3 linked regions of the Schizosaccharomyces pombe genome follow. Changing the gene in region 1 together with any one later gene gives a genetic interaction. Each region holds a gene or a part of one and is shown in the gene's direction. Other genes may lie near its edges.

Region 1 (6,657 bases):
AGAAACATATGAATTTTGTCACCCTCAACGTGGATTCAGGTTTATTGTGGAACAAGTTAGTCACCATCCTCCTGTTGGAGCTGCTTATTCGGAATCCGCGAACTGGAAATATTACGGAGAATCAAGTGTTAAGTCGAAATTCTATGGTAAAAGTTTTGATATCTCACCCCTTGGTACATGGTTTTTGGAATTAAGACATCCTTCTGGGGAAGTTGAATTGTATACTTGGAAAAAGGTCACCTCATCTGTCGTAGGGATTATTCTTGGAAGCCCATCGGTGGATAACTATGGCCAAATGCATATTGTAAACCACAGCAGTGGAATCAATTGTGTCCTTGATTTCAAACCTCGTGGATGGAGAGGTACAAATGCCCATGAAGTTAAAGGAAGTGTACAATCGACGGATGATACTCCTAAATGGATGGTTAACGGACACTGGAATGATAAAATTTTTGGTCAGCAGCCAAATGGAAATAAGATTCTGCTATGGCAAAATCATGAAAGACCGCCTCGTCCTTTCAATTTAACCCCTTTCGCAATTTCACTTAATGCGCTCACTCCACAGTTAAAACCCTGGCTTCCTCCCACTGATACGCGTTTGCGACCTGACCAAAGAGCAATGGAAAATGGACAATATGACTTAGCAGCATCTGAGAAAAACCGCCTTGAAGAAAAGCAGAGGAAAAAACGCCGTATGCGTGAGCAAGGCGAAATGCCACCATGGTCTCCAAGGTGGTTTTCGGCGGCTAAGCATCCCGTTACTGGTGAAGACTATTGGCAGTTTAACAACGAATATTGGAAAATAAGAGAGGAAGCTGGTGAAGCTCATTTGGCCGGAAAGGAATTTGAATGGCCTAATGTTGATGATATTTTTTGAGATCTCACGAAATTATTAATCATTTTGTTTTGCAAAAAGGCAAGGAATGGCAATCCAACTATTTGACACACTATGACCAACAACACTGAGTAAAGTTTATTTAGTTTTATTTAGTCTTGATACACTACTACAAGTAGACAGTATTATAGATATTAATAATGAAAAAATTAGCTACATAACTTCATGATACATTAAATGCTACAATGTTCTTACAAAGAATACGTATACGCACGAAGTGTATTGAACACATAAGTACAAAGGAGAAATTTAGTAAATGAAATTTTAAGCAGCAGTAATAGCTTTGCGAGCAGCCAAGTTTCTGGCCTTGGCACCTTGCTTCAAGGAAACACGGGAAACGGTGTCGTTAGCCTTGGGGACTGCTTCCTCCTCTTCGGCAACAATGATTTCAATGTGAGAAGGGCTGGAAAGGTAAGCAGTGACACGACCGTGAGCACGATAAGTACGTCTGCGTTGCTTAGGGGCAGCATTGACTTGGACATGCTTAATGATGAGTTTGTCCATGTCTAACCCCTTAGCCTCAGCATTAGCCTCGGCATTCTTCAAAAGGTCGTAGAAGAATTTAACAGACTTGACGGGCCAGCGAGCTTGGGTGACGCCAAACTCCTTACCTTGAGCAGTACGGCCAACACCGCCGTTGAAGCGACGGAAAGGAACGGCTTGCTTGTGTTCCTTGACGTTGTCAAGGAAGATGAAGGCCTTCTTCAAACTCATGCCATTAATGGTAAAGGCAACTTCACGAGAGTTCTTGAAATGGGTTCTCAAGTAAGCTCCGCGAGCTTTGGCGCACTTTGTCTCAAGAGCAGGGGAAGCTGAATAGCGGACCATTGCTACTTTTGTTGTGGTAAAAGGCTAGTGCTCTTCTCTAGGAATTTACTATTCTCGTTTCTAGTGTGAACAATTGTGACTGGTTTGGACACTTAGGGTAGGGTTACAAAAACATGCTAATTGACCTACCCAAAAATGTTTTGGAACCTTCAACATCGGTATATTGTTTAGTGAATATGTAGCCACTTCCTTAGGTTTCAGTAGATTCTTCCCATTTTTTGTGTATTTTTCTTGCTCCTTCACCGATCACCGACTTTGTCTACAGATTTCTTTTCTTTTCTCCTCACTCGTTGTTTCATTTGCCTTGGCATTTCAAGTTGTGGCATTTCTCCAGCGACGGACTATCAATTAAGGAGAAGCGATCATACATATGAGCGCCATAGATTCATGTGAGCATACAGTGTCTTGGAAGTTGTGTGAACAAAAATACAATGAAGCTACTACACTTCTTTCCAAGTTAAAAAAGCTACTCGGAAACTTTAAAGAAAATTGTACAAGCGTTGTAGTGGATGGCCACAAAAAGCCACGCTCCGAATCAAGAAAGAAATATGATGCTAAGAAACAGCATCAATCGAGTCATTTTGCAACACCTGTAAAGGGTGTTGAGTCCTCCGAACCCACTGAAAAGAAAAAAAGGAATAAAGAGGCTCTTTGGTTGAGGGCCAGGCAGAAAAAATGGAAAGAAATCTTCGAGTTATGTCAAAAAATAACTTCCCTTCTTGGTGGAACTATTTTGATTGATGTTTCCTTTTCTATGGAAAAAGATGTTTTGACGTATTTGTGGATGCGGGTGCATTACCAAGTTATCTCCTTTTTTAAGCATCGTATCTATGAAGCATCTACCCAACATGACCCGGAGCTTTTAAGCTCACTTGTTACTATGCATATTCAGTATTTGAACTCAACCATACAGTTTTACACTACTTTGATTGCTATAATTGGTGAATTATATCATTTACAATGTCTCAGTCCATTAACTTCTTTCTTTACATCTTGTGTAACTCCTAAAACGATTTTAGAGTCCCCTCTGCGAAAGCAAGGTTCTCATAATTGGAAAACAAGTACCAATTCGCAATCAAGGCTTGCTGCTCTTTTTTCCTCCATATTTGAAGATTCTTGTTTGGAAGTTGACTCTGTGAAAAGATTACTTTCAGGCTCTCCATCATCCTCTTCTTCTCCATTAAAGAAAGACTCTTCTTCTAATTCACTCACTTACGAACCTGCATTAACTGATCATAAACCACAGTATTTGGTTCTTTGTGTGTATAGGTCTTTGATTTACATTGGCGATGTCCACCGTTACTTGGCTGAGGTTCGTTCTCCAAACGTACCTGATTATCAAGTTTCCCGTAGATACTATGTTATGGCTGCTAACGTAGCACCCGATTATGGTGTTCATTTTCACCAACTTGGGCTAATCGAAGTTGCCGATGCTCGATCTTCATCCAGAAAGTCGTCCTCTGGCCAGAGCAGTTCCCTGAAGGGTAACGTTAATGTAGAGGATAAACGTCTCATTCAAGCTTTACCTGCTATTTCTTTTTTCTTTTTGTCATCCATATCCCCTAACAATGTTGCGGCCTCATCGGCTAAGACTAGTTTATTTATTGCTTTGAAGCGTTGCTTCGGCAAAACTAATGATGGTTCGAATCCCTGTTTATATCATAAGGAATCCTCTGCCATTTCCCTGTTTTTGCGTCTGTATGCAATTGCTTTTAGTAATACTGATGCCGACTACATACAAGACTCTGGTCCTTTATTCAAACGAGTTCGATTTCTTCTTTCTGAGTCACTTAAAAGCGGCTTGTTTTCAGAATCCTCTTTATTACAGATGACATATTGTGCATTGGCTGCAAGGGTTTTAGCTCCATTTATTGGCTTTAGTGATTCTGGAGAACACGGTGAGTCGTATCCGAATTTAAAGCTTGCTACACAAACTACAACTATGTTTTTTGAAGTCCTTTCTGATTCAGTGAATAGCCAGCTTCCTTTACAAGCTCTTACCTCTGGTGTGTCGAGTAAGAAGGACGGTAATTTTGATGATCTAGTCGAACGTCGTCAATATGGATCTCTGTCTTCAAATGCTGTACTTATGCCAATGCTTCTACCTTTGTGTGTTTTGACTTCTTCGTGTTTGCAAAATGGGGACGTCTGGCTTACTAAAGATATTCGAACTGGACTTTCACAGATATTCAATCGTTTAAGCTTCTTTTTGGAGAACACAAATCAAACAGCTCCCGACGACTCTGTTCTTGTACGCTGTTCTTCTAAAAGTATCGGCCTGCTATTCTTTTTCCCTCTTGTTAAGGTTTGTGGAGTTCCTCGTGATACTTTACAGTGGCTTTACTTTTCAAATCATTATCCTTTTAATGAGGAAGGTAAAGGTCCCCAAGTTGATGATTCTGACGCACTGATAACAATTGCGTTAGATTCTTTGTATGTGTTACTGAATATGCGAGCGAAAAGTACACCAAATAGCACATCTTTTTCTTCGCCTCCAACACCCCACAGATCTCCATTTAGCGGACAGGCTTTTACTGGAATGGGATTATCGAATTATTCACTAATGTCCTCATCTTCTTTTCCATCTGCTCAATCTTCTCCTACATCTCCTTTTTTATCTGGAACACCATCCATAGCTAATCAGTCATCTAGTATTGCAAGTCTGCAATTTGGGAGGATGGTGGATAGCCTCGTTGGACCTGTTCAACCTATACCTGCTCAAACTACCGGGTGCTCTGTTCATTCATTACAACAACGCACGTTTTCAAATGAGAGTCCTAGAGCTGTCGATTCTGGTTTTAGTAGGACTAGCACACCATTTAGTGAAAGTACTAGTTCTTATCCTTTAGTGTCTGGGAATCTCAGTTCTTGTGAGACACACTTGAACGGATCTCCGCAAAACGGACATTTACAAGGTGAACGTGTTTTATTCCGCCCATTGAGAAGCCCTGCTTTAAACACATTTTCTACGCCTGCTACGGAACCTCCGGAACATTTGGTTTTGTCTGAGCTATTAAAGAAAATGGTTAACATCAGCAATAATTAAACTGTATTGTTGATTGTAATGTTTCATTAAAAATTCTGAAGTTTGTTAGAAGCAGTCAATTAACTTTGCTGCCAACAACGAACAAATTTCTTGCTTTATTTCTCACGAAGTGAAATAACCCAAAATAATGTATCACGGATTTCTTTGTTTATACACTGTGCTTACGAATTAGAAATGGTTCTTCACTTGCCTAAAGAAAGGCTTTGACTTTTATATAAGTATGAATAGTCATCAAATGGCCTAAAGTGTACGGGTATTCACGACACTTAAATTAAAATATGGTCGATGGGAAAATAAAACGTTGTTTAGTTATCATAGCGCTGTTCTGGTTTGACCTAAACACAAGCAATTAAGGCGCTTCCCAATGTTACAATATATATCATAGAATGGGTTAATTGTTTACATAGGACTGCGTTGAATTCTTTAAATAGAATCTTTAGCCTCGAATTATGAAGTTATCTGACTTGTTGGATATCCTCAGCTTGCCAATTGATTGATAATAAGCATATGAGCTTGGACAGTGAATATTCAATATTTGGTTACTCAGTGCAATTTGTTTTGTGATTCTAAGCAGAAATGCTCTTTATAAACATTTACTGCACTATCTTGAGTTTCTAGAGCTTGTTCTGTATCCAAATTGTAATGACTGGCGATTCTCAAGTGCCAGATCTTATACCTCTTTTTATGTCTTTACCAGACGTTATCGTAATGCCTGGACACAAAACTAAAGTGTAAATTTGTCTTTCCTATGAAATGCTTGGTTTTTCATTAAAGTGTTACGAATTCGAAACATATATCTATGATTTTTGAGTATACACTGGCGGTATCTGTTGTTTAAGATAATTTAGTTTTGAGTTATTCGAGGCAATCAATTTCTTATCAAGTGTGATTCTCTTTTTAGAAAACCAAACTAAAAGTAAATCTATTGATCTTTTCAAGTATTAAGACAACTTGTTTTCTTTTGGATAAAATGCTTTTATTGTTGCATAATAGATTGATAAAGGTACGAAATGTATAAATGCATTATTTTATGTTGAGTACTTTACTCTTTCAGGATTGTGTTTGAGCTAAGCTTCTTGCATCTCTCATTCATCATCACACATCTATATTGAAAGGAAAGAAGGTAAAAAACGAACAAGAACAAAGTGAATACAAAAGAACGAATTGGATTAGTATTGTTATTGCATGAAAGTGATCTTATGACATGCATCACTATCCTATCCAAATAGTTTGTAGAGCCAGTTAGTAATAATACTTTCCAATAATTTGAATATGTGTGGCATGCCATTTGGCACGATTTTGAGAAATACAAAAATAAAATCATCTTGTAAAAGAAGAGCAATTAGCTGCTTTTTTATGTACCAGCTGAAGGAAAAACATTTGTTTTTCGACGTATAAAAAAAAACAGAAAGACATCAGCTTAAAGCTTTAAAGCTAACTTGTTTAAATAAGTTTGTAAGTTACAAGTACAATACTTTCTATTACACTTGGCACTCAAAATCGTGTGGCATATGATTATAACGATGCCTCGGATTTCCTTACTTGGCACTAGGTAATACGGTACACTAACCATGACAATACACTAGACAAACGCGAGCAATCTTCCAGCCCTAGTACCTAAGATCCATTGCAAAATTGTTTTGGTTGCGAGACTTACCTGTTTTATCCATAACCATTTGTTAAAACCTTCCTTTGAAGATTTGAGAAACAGGTATCATTTGTGGACATTGGTCTTTACAATTTCCTTGTTTCGTGATTATAAATATTTTTTCCCGGATTTGTGTTATTTACTATAATTTATTGGTAAATTATAACACAAGTGCTCATCTGCTTATAAAGCAAAAGGATTTTCACGAAAATTCCCTAGAAAGTAACCTGTTGTATTTTT
Region 2 (3,197 bases), on another chromosome or scaffold:
CATGGCGTGTTCACTTTAGCTCTTAGTGGAGGAAGTTTACCAAAGGTTTTGGCTGAAGGATTGGCTCAACAGAGAGGTATCGAGTTTTCCAAATGGTAAGTTAACAGATATTATATACTTTTGAGTTGTATGGATTCACTGTGGTTTTGTTTAGCTTTGGTTGACGTGAAACACTCTGTCTTAAGGCAATTTATGATTAACAGCTCTATTTAGGGAAGTTTTCTTTGCTGATGAAAGAATTGTTCCTTTAGATGATGAAAACTCAAATTATGCGCTCTGTAAAAAGTTGATTTTTGACAAGTTTGAAGGATTTGACCCTAAAAAAATTCATACCATCAATCCTGAGCTTTTGAAAGAAAATCCTATTGACCCTCAGAATGTTGCTGATGAATATGAAAAACAATTAGTGCATGTGTTTGCAAATAGCTCCACTGTTAAGGTCCCTGTGTTTGATTTACTGCTGTTAGGATGCGGTCCTGATGGCCATACATGTTCTCTATTCCCCGATCACGAGGTACTCCAGGAAGACGTTGCTTGGGTGGCCCCAGTCACTGATTCGCCCAAACCCCCTAAAGACCGCATCACTTTGACTTTACCGGTTGTCACACATGCTCAAGCCATTGCCTTTGTTACCACAGGTGCTGGTAAGAAGGATATTTTGCCTATTGTCATTGAGGATTTTACATCTAAACTTCCAAGTGCGCTGATCACTCGAAACAATTTGACTCGTACAAGCTGGTTTGTGGATGATGAAGCATCAGCCAATCTTGAGAGATCCTCTTTGAAGGTTTTCCCTCAATAGGCAGTTCAATTTAAGCAGGTGGCCTTTAGAATGCTTAATTGCTACATGCTTCGGATTCATTACTTGTTTCTTTAAGGTCTTTCAAGGGAAAGGTTGCAGTTCTCTTTTGTTGTTCGTGAGATTCTTTGCATAAACGCTTTAGATAATGACTTTCAAAATGCTTTCAGTCACTTCCGTGGAATGCTTGATGACCAGTTTTAACACATGTTAGTAGATTAGGAGAGAACTTGTTCCTCAAATCCTCTTTGCATTTGTTGTCTGTTTTTTATTTTAGACTAGCGTATAAAGGTTAGTCTTGTAAACAATGTGTAAGAAGCTAATGCTTTATTAAATTGTTTTATTGCTTCGTTTAGAATCATGTTTAGTTGATTGATATCACTGGCCAAACCCACACTGCAGAAATATGATGTTTTAATGAAGAAATGAATCATTGAAATATATAAACTTAAGCTATCTTGTATCATTTTTTGTTGGTGATAATGTTCTAAAATGTGTTTCATCAACAAGATAAAGTAAACCAATTGTTTTTGAATTGCAGTGATATAGTTTAGCTTCAATTCTTTTATTAAATCATTAATTCATTTTTAAAATTATGCAAAATTACGGCATTTTCTCATACTGCTTATGATAGATTTTAAGCAAAGATGGAAATTTATATCCAAAAACATGCAATTGCTTAAACTCTCCTTTATGTAAGGGTTTATTAATACTTATGTGTTTTCTACAGATGGCAACCTTCTGATTAATTATCATTAGGTTAATTTGTGATAGAAGCTGTAGTGATCTTAATTACAATAGTTTACATTATAGCAAGATGTTCGACATGACTCAATAGACTAAAAATTTTTTTTCTTAGCATATTCTTCAAAACTGTAGGTCTTAAAAACAGTTTTGTTAGCTTAACATCACCTTAAGTCGTTAGTCATCGTAGAGGAGGCACTTGATATTTCCATCGCACAACATGAACTACCAAAGGCTTGAAAAGTTAGGTAAGTATGAGTTTGAGGTCCCAAAATTTGCAATTTCATTAACTTAAGTAGGAGAGGGAACATATGCGCATGTTTATAAGGGGCAAAATCGAGTGACTGGTGAAATTGTCGCTCTCAAAGTTATTCGTATTGATGCAGATGAAGGAACACCTAGTACTGCTATCCGTGAGATTAGTCTTATGAAGGAGCTTAGGCATCCCAATATTATGTCTCTCTCAGACGTTTTGCAAACCGAAAATAAGCTTATGCTCGTTTTTGAATATATGGAAAAAGATTTGAAAAAGTACATGGACACTTATGGGAACCAAGGAGCTCTTCCACCTTCTCAAGTAAAAAATTTTACTCAACAATTACTCAAAGGGATATCTTTTTGTCACGAAAACCGAGTTCTACATCGTGATCTGAAACCTCAAAATTTGCTTATCAACAGTCGTGGTGAATTGAAATTGGCGGATTTTGGGTTAGCCCGTTCAATTGGAATTCCAGTGAATACTTTTTCAAACGAAGTGGTCACCTTATGGTATCGTGCTCCTGACGTTCTTTTGGGTTCTCGAGTATATTCAACTTCCATTGATATTTGGTCAGTTGGTTGTATCATGGCAGAAATGGCTACAGGACGTCCTCTATTTGCTGGGTCAAATAATGAGGATCAGCTACTAAAAATCTTCCGATTATTGGGAACTCCTACTGAACAATCATGGCCCGGAATTTCTTTACTTCCTGAATATAAGCCTACTTTCCCTATTTATAAAGCACAAGATCTCGCCTACCTATTTCCAACATTTGATCCTCTTGGTTTGGATTTGTTACGACGGATGCTTCGTCTACAACCTGAATTAAGGACGACCGGCCAGGATGCGCTTCAACATGCTTGGTTTTTAACCGCATAGGCTGTAAATTAACATCAAAAAGTTTAACCAAATTACGATTTTATTTATTCATTTCAGTTTCCTATTGAAATCATTAATTTTTTTTTTGGAAAGAATGCATTTCACCTAGGGAAAGAGCACAATATTTTTGGACGTTCAAATTTCTTCGCAACTGTTTTAGCCCAAGTAGCTATCCCTATTGATCTTTTTTAAACGAGGTTTAGAGGTAAATATTTGGTTATTATTTTGAGAGGATTTGAAGCTGTCGAATATATTTTTAGCCAAGAATTAAACGGCGTTTTATTTTCTACGATTAAAATATCGTCGCTGATGACATTCAAGTCGTAAATGAAATACTTAAAGAATTGAATGATCCGCATTGCGTCTGACATTTTTATGAAGGAGCAAAAGGATAATATTCAAAAAGCAATGCGGGTTTTTAGTATACTGATAATAATTTGCGGATTTCAAGCAATTATCCGCAATGCACATGAAAAACAATCTTTTTTCACTTATTTTTATTAGTGGATTAATGGC
Region 3 (5,735 bases), on another chromosome or scaffold:
ATTATTCGGACTCATCAGGCCCTTCGAAACCTGTTTCACCCTTTTTTAAAAAGGAACGCTATAAACATCATTTAGAAACAAATGTCTCATCTCACCAGAGCGCTACAAAATTTATAGAGCCTGAACCCAGCCCTACAAAGAAAACTAAACTTACAAGACGGGATACACGACCACTGGCGGAACGAGCAAGACCCAAATCACTAGATGAATATGTTGGTCAGGAAGAGCTGGTTGGTGAGCGAGGCATCATTCGTAATCTGATTGAACAAGATAGGTGCAATTCCATGATTTTATGGGGTAGTGCTGGAACTGGAAAGACTACGCTTGCTAGACTAATTGCCGTTACAACAAAATCAAGGTTCATAGAAATTTCTGCGACTTCGACGACTGTTGCTGATTGTCGTAAAATCTTTGAAGACTCACAAAATTATCTCACCTTGACAGGAAGAAAGACTATTATTTTCTTGGACGAAGTACATCGTTTCAACCGTGCGCAACAGGATATATTTTGTAAGTTTGATATTTTTTTATCTCTTCAATTAACCATGACTAGTGCCAATGGTTGAAAAGGGTCTAGTTACTCTGTAAGTGATGCATTCTAATATCACAAATGCTAACCTTTGAATTAGGATCGGCGCAACAACTGAGTATGTTTAAACACTAATGTTTTCCACCATGATTAACATTGTAGAAATCCTTCTTTCCGACTAAATTCTGCTCTCATTAGCAGATGCCCCGTTTTTGTGCTTAAGAAACTAACGCGTGATAATGTTAAGAAAATATTAAACCATGCTTGCTTACTGGAAAGTGAGCGACTAGGATCTTCTATGCCCAACGTTGAAACATCTATTATTGATTACATATCTGCTATTACAGACGGAGATGCTAGAATGGCCTTAAATGCTTTAGAAATGTCTATTGGAATGCTAAGACAAGGACCCCTGTCACTCGAAGATATTAAGGACAAGCTAGTCAGATCTTCTGCACTTTACGACAGAGTAGGTGATGTTCATTATGATACAATTTCTGCCTTCCATAAATCAGTAAGGGGTTCTGATGTCGATGCAACTTTATACTATCTGGGTAGAATGCTCGAGTCTGGAGAAGATCCACTGTATGTGGCACGAAGAATGGTTAGAATAGCAAGCGAAGACATTGGAATAGCAGATAATTCTATGCTACCTCTAGCATCCAGTACATTTACTGCTGTTCAACAAGTTGGCATGCCTGAAGCCGATGTAATTCTAGCTCATTGCGCCGTCGCCTTAGCATTAGCTCCAAAATCAGTTGACGTTTACAGATCATATAATGCTGTAAAAAGTTTTTTGTCTTCTCATCCCGATGCTGGCAGGGCTGAAATTCCCATGCATATTCGAAATGCTCCTACAAATTTGATGAAGCAATTAGGATACCATAAAGGATATAAATACAATCCGGATTATAAAGACGGATTAGTAATGCAAGAGGTAATAAAAAATATTCTTTTCAATTTGTTAACCTACTCAGTATTTACCCGATTCTATCAAGGGAACAAAGTTTTATAAGCTACCTATAGAGTTAAAAGAGGATGAAGAAATTAAAAATTTAAAAACTGATACTAAATAATTATATAAGTGATCCTTCACTAATTGTTCATTTACCACGTTATAATGGAAATCATTGTATTTCAATACCTTTGCACTTAGCCCATACTTTAATGGTGAAGGGGTAATGTCTCAAACTCCTATTAAAAAGGAAGAATCTAATGATCAGGATGATAAATTTGAATTTAAAAAATATATTAATGAAGGGAAGCTCCCTCTGAAAGCAGATAATCCCAAAAAAAAACCACAACTTGGAACTATTCAAGCTAATCAGCCTATTCCATCCATATTTGACAATCTTTTTAATTTATTCAAGGTAATTAATACTACATACACTTTTCTTTATTTGAGAAATTCTCTTACAATCACTTTTCCCCTTCTCAATTCGAGTGTTAAGCAAAGTTTGAAAAAGGAGTTGACAATCGGCGATTTATCTCAGCTAAGAGAAATATGTCCTCAAATAATTGAATTAAATTATAAATCACTTGCTAGCCTTGCATTAGAAATCAATAAAAATGTTTACACTGATCTAAACCCTGAGTTGTACACTGGTTCAACGGTCTCACAGAGTTCTGAATATGTTTTGGTTATTGAGCTTTTAGAAACGCAAGAGAGAAGTTCCAAACGAAGGAGACGTGAAGGCCCAACAATGAAGGCTAATATCCAGAGGCAAAAGCTGGATTTTAATAATTTGAAGAAAGCCATAGAGTTACGAAACCAAAAGTTCCTTCAAGGGATTAAAGAATATATAAAAAAATGTCAATTGACAGAACTTGACCCAACGCAACAGCTATTAACTCAATCCCGGAAAAACCAGCCGGTTCCTCCTGATTCACCGAGTATTCCTAATGATTCAATAGAAAACTGCAATTTAAATACTAAAGCGTGCTCAATTGAAGAACTTTTAAATGAAATAGCTTCTGAATCTTCTTACGAAGGGCAAATAGTCCAAGAAGCTTTACATACTTATCCTGCTGTTGAAGCACAATATGGAGCGTTGTCTCGACCTTTGTCTCAAGAGCTTATAAATGCTCTTTATACATCTAGAAACATCGAAAAGACATACAAACATCAGGCAGACGCTATCAACCACCTTTGGAACGGATTTCATGTTATAGTGTCAACTTCTACATCTAGTGGAAAGTCTTTGATTTACCAAATTCCAATTTTACAAAGTTTGTTAGAAGATAATCAATCTACGGCATTTTTTGTATTCCCTACTAAATCTTTAGCCCAAGATCAGAAGAAGTCGTTAATCGATATACTTAGCTATATGCCGACGCTTAAGAATATTCGAGTGGACACCTTCGATGGGGATACACCACTTGAGTCTAGAGAAAGTATTATTAGATCTGCAAATATAATCTTTACGAATCCGGATATGTTACATCAAACGATTCTTCCCAATGCTAATCGTTGGTATTATTTCTTTAAAAACCTGAAACTTTTCGTCCTGGATGAAGCTCATGTGTACAATGGAATATTTGGCGTTCACGTTGCTTTTGTTCTAAGAAGGATGCGCCGTATTGCTGAGTACTTTGGAAATAGTCAATATCGATTTGTATCATGCTCGGCTACTATTGAGGATCCTTTACAACATATGAAAAAAATTTTTGGAGTAGATAATATAAAACTAATTAACTATACTTCTTCTCCTTCTGGTTCAAAAAAATTTGTAATGTGGAATCCACCTTATGTCGACCCCAAGCATCCTGATGATGGAAAGAAAAGCGCAATCTCTGAAGCCTCGAAACTGCTTATTAAATTTGCCGAAAAGCGGGTGCGTACAATTGTTTTCTGTCGTGTTCGAAAAACCTGTGAGTCGTTAATGAGACTAGTGAGGCAGGAATTAAAAACCAAACAAAAAGGAGATCTTTTATCTAAGATTCAATCGTATAGGGCTGGGTATACGGTTCAGGAACGCAGGAAGATAGAGAGTGAAATGTTTAACGGGAAATTATATGGGATTATTGCGACGAATGCTTTAGAGCTAGGTATTGATATAGGATCACTGGATGCCGTTATAACCATAGGATTTCCATATTCTTTGTCTAACTTGCGCCAGCAATTTGGTCGTGCTGGTAGAAGGAATAAGTCTTCCTTAGCAGTATATATAGTTGAGACATTTCCCGTTGATCAGTTTTATTTAAAGCATCCTATTTTGATTCACACTCAACCAAATGCTGAACTCACTTTAGACTTGACAAATGAGGTATTACTAGCGAGTCATCTTCAGTGTGCTGCATATGAGCTTCCCATTAACATAAGGAGCGACGAAAAGTTTTTTGGAAATCAAATTCAAGACATTTGCGAAGCAAATTTAGAAATGGTTGAAGAGAGTTATCGGCCTCATCCAAAATATCTTCCTTTTCCTGCCTCGCAGGTACGGATACGAAGCGTTAGTGAAGACATGTTTACTCTCGTCGATGTCACAAATGATAAGAATGTTATTCTAGAACTCCTCGAACCTTTTCGTGTTGCATTAACTGCTTACGAAGGTGCAGTTTATGTTTATCAAGGAAAAACGTTTATCATTAGGCTCCTAAATATTAACAAGAGAATTATTACTGCTCATCAAGTTGATGTTGAATGGTCAACATTGCAAAGAGATTTCACAGATGTTGATCCTGTTCGCAGCTTAATGAAGAAGACTATGCATGGAAGTACAAACATTTATTTTGGGGCTGTTAAAGCAACATTACATGTATTTGGGTATTTCAAAGTTAACAAGCAGAAAGATATTCTGGACGTGGTAGATATTACCGATCATCCTGTTGAAATTGATAGTCGAGGTTTCTGGATAGATGTACCTTGGCATATCATTGAGGTTTTGTCATTAAAAAAAATAAATGGAGCCGCTAGTATACATGCTGCCCAACATGCTTTACTTTCGTTGATGCCAATTTTTATTAGTAACAGCGGTAACGATATTCGAACAGAATGTAAAGCGGGTGAAAAGGAGTATAAAGAGGCTAAAAGCGAGCGAAGACGTCCTTCCCGACTCATTTTCTATGATAATTGTGGTGATTCATCTGGTGCTGGTTTATGCAACAAGGCATATGAACATACTGATGAATTAATTACAATGGCCATTGAGCGAATTGAGAGTTGCGATTGCAAAGTTCGTGAAGGTTGTCCCGGATGTATTACGAGTTCAAAATTTGAAGGCGGAGTTTGCTCTGGAGAAGTACTTGACAAGGGTAAGTATAGATATACTTTGCATTTTTTGTTGGACGGTGAAGCAATCCCGTATAGATTGGTCGCTTAGTAGTTTGTAAGATAACACTCTCATTTTTTTTATGATCAAATGAAAAGGGATTGCTTGCAAACTTAAATAGATTATTCACATTACTTCTACTAACATATTTCTTTCAGTTGGCGCTTTAATCTTATTGAAAATGCTACTGTGTCAACATGTAAATTTAGATATATATGCTGATGGACCAGAGATTGATTCATATCACGCTTTGCGAACTTTAATACCTTCTTGTTAATAATTGAATTTATTTTTTTTATTTTGTTTATATTAGACTAAATTATTAGTTAGTACTACTAATATTGCGTTGTGCTTTTTGATTTTACATTTAAACCCTACCCTAACTTACCGGAGTCAATGTTAGATACTGACAGCGCTCAGTGCTTACTACCGTACAGCCACCGTTCTCCTCATAGAAGCCAAGTCCCAATATAAATCTTGAATTTTTGTAAAAATATGAGTTTTGCACAAATTCTCCGTGGCTCGAGGGCAATGGCTTCTCCAAAATGTCTTCCAGAATCCAATTATTCAACATCACACCTTCGGTTTCCTCGATTGCAATCCATAACTTCAAAAAAAAATAGTAGAGCTCGTGGTGATTGGGGACTGAAAAGGACTCTTCCAAAAATAAAGACAAGATACATATGTGTGCGGCAGCAAGATTCCTTATACAAGCAAGCAGATTTTCAATCAAGCGCTAAATTTGTTCGTCTAGTTCGCAATTGGTTTGATGCTGGATTTGTACGAGATCCTTCTGAAGTTGCTTTGTTGCAAGAATTATTGAAAGAAACGGGGTTGAAAGATACGCGTGACATAAATAAGGTATTTTCTCCTTCTAAACAATCCGACGAAAATGATAACTTTCGCCGTTACGGAGTTTCTGGCGGTATTCAATA

The links. A genetic interaction does not mean that the proteins touch.
Region 2: mutations in ebs1 (region 1) and pef1 together harm fitness more than expected from each alone (negative genetic interaction), as found in Schizosaccharomyces pombe (2 studies listed by BioGRID).
Region 3: mutations in ebs1 (region 1) and hrq1 together harm fitness more than expected from each alone (negative genetic interaction), as found in Schizosaccharomyces pombe (2 studies listed by BioGRID).

What each region holds. Positions count from the first base shown.
Region 1 is NC_003423.3:1,732,261-1,738,917, forward strand, and holds ebs1 (EST1 family protein), read left to right. Parts: upstream 1-1,964; 5' UTR 1,965-2,093; coding exon 2,094-4,769; 3' UTR 4,770-6,102; downstream 6,103-6,657. Other genes in the region: sterol transfer protein Osh2, read left to right, coding at 1-877; rpl1701 (60S ribosomal protein L17), read right to left, coding at 1,160-1,723.
Region 2 is NC_003421.2:685,991-689,187, forward strand, and holds pef1 (cyclin-dependent protein kinase Pho85/PhoA-like Pef1), read left to right. Parts: upstream 1-1,744; 5' UTR 1,745-1,763; coding exon 1,764-1,791; exon of another isoform or gene 1,792-1,842; coding exon 1,843-2,681; downstream 2,682-3,197. Other genes in the region: pgl1 (6-phosphogluconolactonase), read left to right, coding at 1-95, 214-802.
Region 3 is NC_003424.3:4,113,157-4,118,891, reverse strand, and holds hrq1 (RecQ type DNA helicase Hrq1), read left to right. Parts: upstream 1-1,677; 5' UTR 1,678-1,710; coding exon 1,711-4,783; exon of another isoform or gene 4,784-4,958; coding exon 4,959-5,077; 3' UTR 5,078-5,219; downstream 5,220-5,735. Other genes in the region: mgs1 (DNA replication ATPase), read left to right, coding at 1-510, 554-584, 630-647, 692-1,466, 1,507-1,605; mrp51 (mitochondrial 37S ribosomal protein bS1m), read left to right, coding at 5,296-5,735. UniProt on the Schizosaccharomyces pombe protein: Helicase with 3'-5' helicase activity involved in genome stability. Functions in the nucleotide excision repair (NER) pathway and plays a critical role in DNA interstrand cross-link repair.